Oryza sativa Japonica Group: one gene and its partner. The protein of the gene in region 1 interacts with the protein of each later gene in a pairwise test. Links are inferred from orthologs where the notes say so. Each region holds a gene or a part of one and is shown in the gene's direction. Other genes may lie near its edges.

Evidence for each region.
Region 2: the proteins of splicing factor Cactin (region 1) and UPF0235 protein At5g63440 interact in binary tests that used the Arabidopsis thaliana proteins (3 or more experiments, as listed by UniProt). The link is inferred for Oryza sativa Japonica Group from reciprocal best matches to the Arabidopsis thaliana genes AT1G03910 and AT5G63440.

The regions. Positions count from the first base shown.
Region 1 is NC_089037.1:34,339,314-34,343,761, forward strand, and holds the end of splicing factor Cactin, read left to right. Parts: intron 1-229; coding exon 230-325; intron 326-746; coding exon 747-1,031; intron 1,032-1,318; coding exon 1,319-1,478; intron 1,479-1,573; coding exon 1,574-1,716; intron 1,717-2,314; coding exon 2,315-2,488; intron 2,489-3,012; coding exon 3,013-3,279; intron 3,280-3,363; coding exon 3,364-3,483; 3' UTR 3,484-3,825; downstream 3,826-4,448. UniProt on the Arabidopsis thaliana protein: Plays a role in pre-mRNA splicing by facilitating excision of a subset of introns. Required for embryogenesis.
Region 2 is NC_089041.1:11,606,235-11,610,730, reverse strand, and holds the start of UPF0235 protein At5g63440, read left to right. Parts: upstream 1-1,377; 5' UTR 1,378-1,634; coding exon 1,635-1,749; intron 1,750-3,335; coding exon 3,336-3,450; intron 3,451-4,353; coding exon 4,354-4,496. UniProt on the Arabidopsis thaliana protein: May play a role during early embryonic development. Probably involved in pre-mRNA splicing.

The DNA.
Region 1 (4,448 bases):
AAGGTTCAATGTTTCAATATATCCTAAGATACCTTACATCTTAGAAATAGCCTTAAACATTCTAACGATTCATCATTAACTACATTCTAATTAGAGAGGTGGAAACATGTATCTCTCAATGGGTTTGAAATTTAATCACTCCATCTGTTCTTACTTTACAACTAGCCCAGATCTGAAAGAGTTCCCTTTTCCTTTTAACACTTAAACATATGTGATGTGCTAAATGCAGGGATTAACGGTGAAGGAAATGGAAGAGCTGCGCGATGACATTAAGATGCATCTTGATCTGGACAGGGAAAGCCAAATAAATGTCAAATACTGGGAGGTGTGTCTTTGTCTCAACATTCATTATAATATTACCCTTTACTTGAATAATCATATGAATTCATATGACTGATGTGTATGTTGCATAATGTATATTCCTGTTGATTGAGGTTAGTACCAAATGGCATATAGTCCAAAACAGTAATGCTAAATTTTTGAGATTTTGATAATTATGTTTTGTTGGATCGATCTTTGGCAAAAATATTGTGCCGTAGTATGTCAGAACATATTTTTTAGCTTGTTGTATATATGGTTTGCCTATAGGCCGTAGGTTTTCACAAAAAAAAAACTAAATCAAGTTATTCCTAATATGACAGTAGGAACTAATAATTTCTGTGATTTCATGTTGCTCTCTTGATCTAATTAGCAAGGATGCTCAGGGCTGTTGACCAATTGTCCACTCTTTATTTCAAATTCATCAGGCACTCATGGTGGTATGTGACTGGGAGCTAGGTGAGGCTCGGAAAAGAGATGCCTTGGATCGGGCTAGGGTGCGTGGTGAGGAACCACCTCCTGATGTTCTTGCGGAAGAGAGGGGCTTACATGCAAGTATTGAGGGTGATGTAAAGGATCTTTTGGAGGGTAAGACTTCCACAGAACTAGAAGAGATGCAAAGTCAAATTGAGTCCCAAATGCGCTCTGGAACAGCAAAAGTTGTTGAATACTGGGAGGCCATTCTGAAACGCCTTCATATTTACAAAGCAAAGGTATGCCATGCTTGCAGACACTAAAAGACACTCTTCTTTTCTTCTTGTAGCAAATGTGATTCCATCCATATCACACTATCTTGGTTGTTTCATTTGCATTACACAAATAAAATGTGTTCTGGTATCTTGATTTGACCTTAGTTCTTGCATCATAATCAGATCCTGGTTTGGATTCTTATATGAACTTGTGAAACTGCTTTGCCTAACTTTCTGAATTTGCAGTTTATATGGTTGCCCGGTTTAAATAGTGTATAATAGGTGAAAGCTTACCTTTTTCTGCATTGCAGGCTTGCCTGAGGGAAATCCATGCTTCGATCTTACGGAAGCATCTACATCGTCTGGAGCATCCTGATTCCATTGAGCAGGATAAGGAATCTGAGGATGAAATCGATGCTAAAGAGAAGGATGCAACACATATTGACGATGATGATGATGATGATGATGAAGGTTTAGTTTTATTTCTGTATTTCCAGTCACTCAAATACTCCCTTCCATGCTGTAACTCTAGCGACTATGAGTTCTTATACCTACTTTATGTGTAGATGATAAGCGATATTCGCCTGAACCTATAGCGGAGCAAACAGAGAGTCATTTGGATGAAGAAGACGGATCCTTTTCTCCTGAGCTAATGCATGGCAATGAAGATGAAGATGCAATTGATCCTGAGGAGGACAAGGCAGAACTGGTAGTGTCCTCACTCCTGCTACACTTAGCTTTTAATACTGCCTCCGTTTCAGGTTATAAGACTTTCTAGTATTGTCCACATTCATATAGATGTTAATGAATCTGGGCACACATATATGTCTAGATTCATCAATATATATATATAAATGTGGGCAATGCTAGAAAGTCTTATAATATGAAACGGAGGAAGTAAATGCTAAGAAAATAGTGGTAGTTTTTATGTAGTGAAGTGAACTGCAATTGTTTTACAAATTGGCAGACTTACTATTTATTAGACACTATATTGTGCAAAAAGATGAACAAGCCAGTACAATTGTTTAGGTATCATATAGATCTTTTCTTAAGGCACCAACTGGATTCCCATTGACCCATTCATGTTTACCCTGAGAAAGGCCTTTTAGTTTCATCGTGTACCATAGTACACTTACGGTCATTTGTCAGTGTAAGGTGTTATTATTGGCTTATATATTGGAGTTTACATACATGAAATTTTTATCTCAATTCAGGATTACATCATTAGGTACATTCGTGAGTTGATTGCAGATTTTAAATGTTGGCAATTCATAGAATATTCCTATGCACTTTGAATTAATGTCCAGGATCGAAAACGTGAAGCTGTAGTTATGGAGCATCAAAAGAAAGTTCAGCAGGCCATCGCAGTGAAGACAAGAGTACCCGATGAGATGGAGATGAAAGCAATGAAAGCAATGGGAGCTATGGAGGAAGGAGATGCTGTGTTTGGTTCAGGAGCTGAAGTGAACCTTGATTCACAGGTAACATGAATTTTTTTATATCTAGAGAAACAGCAATGCTATCACTGTACCACCTTGCCTTCTAAACAGAACAGTATCTGATACCCATATTGCAATATTCTGTGTTGTAAAAACTTTGTGGTTGGAATGCTTTTACCAGAGTCCAGCTCTAACTCTGCATACTTTGGCAAGTTTTTAGCCCCTACAGAGCTCATAACCACCCATGTCTGGTAAAAGGTGGTCCTGTTGAATCATGAACCTTATGCAGGATAGCTTTACACTAATTTGTTCATTGAACAACCCTCTACAACATGGTCTGTCACAAAGACCTTCACTGCACTTGTTATTTCCTCATTTAACCCCAAGATCATTTGATCTGGATTGTGCACATAATATTAGCCCAAAGCAATATTGTGGAGGCTGGCTTGCTTTTACATGCTAGAAGATTTATTTAACAACTTAAGTGCATTGATCTGCTTCCAGTGAACTTGAATGCAAGCTGACTTTGTTTCTGATGAAAATATGCCTGTTTAATGTGCTCACAGGTATATTGGTGGCACGACAAGTATCGACCAAGAAAACCGAAGTACTTCAATCGGGTGCATACTGGATATGAGTGGAACAAATACAACCAGACTCACTATGACCACGACAACCCCCCACCGAAAATCGTCCAGGGCTACAAGTTCAATATATTTTACCCTGACCTGGTGGATAAATCAAAGGCGCCAACATACACGATAGAGAAAGACGGGAGCACCGGTGAGACATGCCTCATAAGATTCCATGCGGGCCCTCCATATGAGGATATAGTAAGCCTCTATTCCCATATCTTCAAATTTAATCCTGTAGAGTTTCATGGGCACTTCACTTAATTACTCTGTTTTCTTCACCAGGCTTTCCGTATTGTCAACAAGGAGTGGGAATACTCACATAAGAAGGGCTTCAAGTGCACATTCGAACGTGGGATTCTCCACCTCTATTTCAACTTCAAGCGCTACCGCTACAGGCGATAAAATGCCACGCAAGGAAGACGTTTTGATCTCCATTGTGCTGTTAGAAGTTGGTCTTGCTTTTCTTACCTGAGAGCCCTATGCAAATAGGTTTGCTCGGATACCAACTCTGGAGTCGACTACACATGCTCATCCGAGATCATATGTACTAAGTGAGAACAGGGTAGCATACTAGCATCCCGTACTTATGCTGATTAGGCTCTTTGTTAGCGGTTTGAAAATAGCAACGAAGTCTCCTGTGTACATTGTAACTTCCTTTTTTCTGCTTTGGAAATTGAGTTCAGATGTCAAAAATCAACACATCTTTTTGGTGGCAATCAAACTAATAGTGCGTATATCATTAAACTTCTTGTTTCTGGAACTAGCGAAAGTGTGGAGTACTTAGCACAACATCAGAAGGCATGACCAATTGACTTATAGCTAAAAATGTAATAGCTGTTTTTTTTTTGTTTTTTTTGTTTTGCTCCTACACAACTTTGTGCTATTAACAGGATCAGAGATGCAAAGTGGCAGTTGGTCCGAGGCTCCTAGCTCCGAACCACTATCAGTTTGCAGCTATTGGCCTCTACATCCATCTTCTACACAAGATTATAAGGACAAGAGATGATTTTAAAAATGGAAGGCAAGTATTCACTCAAAGTTTAGATGCCATTGGATGGTAGAATCTAAACTGCTTCTAAATAAGTTACCGCATACAAAAAATAAATTAACAGAGTCCCCTTTTTCACAAGTGAGGTTTGCTCACTTAGTTCCCTTCGCACTGGCAAACTACGACAGTGTGTAAATTTCAGAAGGGATATTAAAACAATTACCAATGCAGCAAAGGTAAATAGTGCAATGGGCAAAATTGAATTGATTCTGAGGACAGGATATCTCCAAAACCACTAGCCACTTTGGACTTGGTGGCTAATGGTCGGGTTTCTCCGTCCAATTTCCAGAACAAAACAGGTCAACTCCTATGAAGTCAG
Region 2 (4,496 bases), on another chromosome or scaffold:
CTTCGTAGGCTGTGTGGGTTGTGTTGGCTCTGAGATTCGATGATCTATGCCCTCCCCGGGGGGTCCCTTTTATATCGCAGGTCTGGAGCTCTCCGAGTAGGACTCAAACATACCAGACCCAATACAATACGTAGGTAACCCAGTTCAGTCCGAGAAGGACTCTTCCCGTCTATTGATTTCGTGAAAAGTTTCCTTAGATCATAAAGGAAATATCCGCGTACGCGTGGGTATGCCATGTCGATACGTAATGTATATCAAAGGGTAGAGGGTATGCCTGACCCGTAACCCTGACAGAGATCTTAATCATTCAATTGCAAATTGAGTCACAATCTATCTTGTTCTTGCTTGTGTTCTTCGATTCGCATATAGGGATTAGCCTTCTTGGCGAGATAATCGGGTTTCGGTACGATTGATAACCAGAAAGACGTGGTGTCGCGATTGCAGGATTTGGATTGTGTTGATCGAAAGCCGGATTGTATGTGTCAAGTTTCTACCAAATCGAAAGCTATCCATATCTATCAGAAGATCGAAACCTAGTTCCTCATCAAATGGGGAAATTTGGATATTTTGATTGGCTTTAAGATTCACGCAGAAGGGGGAGTGGGAAAAATAGCAACATTGCACAACCGACGGGAGTGAACCCACGACCTCCAACTTCATGTGCGCGTGCCTCCCCGCTAAACTAAACTCCTTGTTTTGAATTTTTTTATGCATGTTACATACTAGTTATATGTAATTATAATGTAGTTATAATGTAATTATATTAAGTTGTACTATAGTTACATTTGAAAATTTTTCAATAAAAGAAACTTAAGGCGGTTTTTAGAATGTTTCGTTCATGCATTGTATTGCTTAAGCCTTCTAAACCTAGGTAACGAGTGCTTCGTTGAATTCTGGTTCCTTATGCGTCTAATTTGGTTTTATTTATTAAATATGCATCTCTTTTGATTTATTAATATGAGTTTGCTTTGGTCGAATTGTGAATTAGTACAAGTTGATTTTTAAAATGTTTAGAATTTAACATTTTAATAATTTTAGATTTCTTTCACTATTTTCACTTCTGGCCCTCTTTGCATAATTTAATAGGCTAAAATTATCTTTAAGAATCAACCTTTAAAATTCCAAAACTTTACAATATAACTTTCTTTATCGTATCTTATATATTCTTTACCTTTATATTAAAAAGCGTACCTATAATTTATAAACCAGTTTCTCCACTTATAATCGAAAACATATCGCCGCCCCAGTTCCATCAAATTCACTACGTCGCCAATTTTTTTCTCTTCATTATGAAAACAAATCAAGAGTGAATTTAAGTTTAGCTTACGAAATAAATCGTGGAACAAGAAAAACAACCCAAACACGCCCAAGGTCAGTGCTGTAATTTCTCTTTCCTGATCCGACCGGTCGCAGGCGCAGCGCACGTCTCCTCCTCCTTGCGACCTCGTCGAGTCCACCACCAACCTCGCCGCCGCTGCTACAGCCGTCGTCTCCCACCGCACGCCCCGCCCCGCCCCCCACCCATCGCCGGCGACGCGGATCCCTCCTCGACGGTGCGCCCGCCTGAGCAGCCGTGCTATACCTCTGTCGGGGGCATATTCCCCGCCGGCGCAGCAAGCTGAGCGGAGAGGAGGATGCCGAAGCGGACGACGCACACGTACTCCAGCGAGGACGCCCTGCCGGAGGGGCCCGAGTCCGACCTCTTCGTCTACTACTGCAAGCACTGCGCCTCCCACGTCCTCATCACCGGTCAGCTTCTTTCCCCCTCCCTCCTGTTCGTTTCCCCTTTTGGGGAATTCCCCTTCTTGTTCGCCCAAGAGCTCAGGTTGCTAAATTTTACCAGATCCGTGTTACTCTTCTGGATTAGTTCTATGTTACACTAGTATACAGCTCAGCATTCAGTGGGAAATCTTTAGGTGTAGTTTTGATCTAATCATTGCGAATTACTCACAAGCATGAGCAGCACAGGCACAGCGAGCATAGGATTTCACCTTCTAGAGAATTCATGTTCTTTGTGTGGGTTCTAGCTTGCAGATTTTCACGCTTGCTTATATTACAACGATGAACGAACAAATCTGGTCTTGTTTCTCTGCATATAGTATATGTTGTTTACAAGTATACTTGAAACCACCTACCATTTTGGGATCAAATAAAATTGTTATGTATGCATACCAATTGTTGTTTGATAAGAACTGTAGACCTGTTTCTGTAGCAAACTTGTGATATAGGCCCACATACAGTAGTGCATTTATCCGAGCTCACCAGAATCAGTTTTTAGTGTTCTGCATGGTGTGTTGGTATTGTTTTGTACAACAGAATGTGGGAGTCAGAAAACCAGAGGCTGGGCTATCCATGTAGATTAGTCTCCTATTTCTACGAAGGAATTATTCATTGATGTTAGTGGTTATTTTGTCTTTTACCCTAGGCCTTGCTTGTGAACTTTTGTTCAATCTGAATGTCTTATGTTAATCTCCATTTCATGAAACTTGTCCAGAATTAAACCAAAAAACTTTAGAGATGCAGAGTGTTTGCAAGGGTGACTGCGTATTGTATTCTTCCTTTGGTTAGTGATTTGGGTAGATTTTGCTGTTATGCTATTGACTGGAATCTGAGCCCTAATCCTAAAGATATGCCATTTGAAGATGATTGTTACGTAAACAAGTGAAATTAGGTCTGTTTTGCACGACATAATGATCTAATTGATAGCAAGTAGGTTACATGGGACCAATTATAGTGCTTCAGTTCTGCTAGGTCAGCAGCATACTTGGTAGTCTATGATAATTCTTGTTTTTTGGCAGCTCTAATCCACCAGAAAAATTTTCGAATTTCATTTGAACCCTGTTTGGTAAATGGGCTAAAACCTCTTTGGAATTAACTACACTAGATGTCCGGGGAACAACCATGTTAAGTTATTAGGCTCTTCATATCTTTTATCTATTCCTTTTGATTCAGCTCAATAACTGACTCAGAAGTTGAATCTAATCCTTCAATCATGCCAACAACAATGTGGTGGATTTGGGTTCTGTTTCCTGATTTTCGTTTCTTAGAGAATTAGCCAAAGCTACTATCTGCAAGCCTACCACCTTGTTATATGAATGCCATTTGTAACTGTTGCAACTCTATCTTCAACTGGAGGGATTGTGCTTTATGACATATTGAGTCATTCTATTTAGTTGCTAACCTGCCAAAGGATATTTGGGATCACAAAATTAATTGCCGTGCTATATAATGCTCACCATTTTTTAAGTTTAAGGAACATGATTTTGTATTTAGTATCTATTGTTGAGACTGTAACTGTCTGGAAATTTCCCCATTCTGATGTGTTTATTCTAAAGATACCCAATTGCAGAAAATGCCAAAGAGGAAGACTGACAGAGCACATGTACTAGACAAGAAAAAACATCTCTCAAGGCTAAATGTGAAGGAGGCAGGAAAGGTCCTGTTGAAACGGTATATTAGTCATCCTATGAATCTTTTCTTAGTCTTAGAGGAAAACACCATTCAGTTTCTTAGATATTCTTGCATTATTTATAGATATTAAGTGGCTGTTTGGTTGGTTACCTGGGACATGCCTGAGATGGACCTGAACTTCTGATAAATATTCCTGGCCTTAGTTTGTGAGGATTGTTGGAGATTGTACTCGAGTGAAGAATAGAAAAGCAAAATCACATTTTTCGGTAGAGAAAGTTAAAATTTAGAATACACAATACAGTTTAAAACATACCAAATACTAGAATAACATCCTTTGCCTCAAAAAATAAAGGAGAAGAAAAAACGTCTGGAACTCTGGATTAGCTTGGTCCCATCCTACCACAAGAGATAATGCTGATGAGCTGAACCTGTCTGTATATTGACTATGCCATGGCAGCGATCGCTTCTCAATAGATCTAGTGTCACTCTGGCTGGGTTCTACATGGCCTGTACCATGCCTCTGCTTCCAGGCTTTTGAGCTCAGGCTGCCACCAACAGATCTTATGTTATGTGTACCGTGATTGTAATCTTCTTCATATTGAGTTCAACTCCTGGTGATTACTCATCCAATTATCAGGTATTATGAACTGCAAAATTCAGTGCTACAAGTTCTTTTCTAGAAGAAAGCACAGTACTGCTTCTTAACACAGTGTGTCTGTGCACAGTTTTGCCTGACTTAACACCATAACAATAGATTTTGTTGCACACATTCTCCCTTCATTAATTTCTTAACTTCTAAACTTTTATAGGCATTCTGTTTTGTCATCACCATTTACAATTTTCATCACCATTTACAATTCTTATATGCCATATCTGGATCATTTTGGTTAATATAATTACTAGGTTGCACTCCAAACTTTGATGATTCTCTAATGTATGCAGGGGAGAAGGGAAGCTTGAAAAGCAGTTCCGTATGAGTTGTTTGGGATGCGGCCTTTTCGTTTGTTACCGATCAGAAGAGGAGTTGGAGCTAGCTCCATTCATATATGTTGTTGATGGAGCACTAAGCTCAGTGGCGGCTGAAA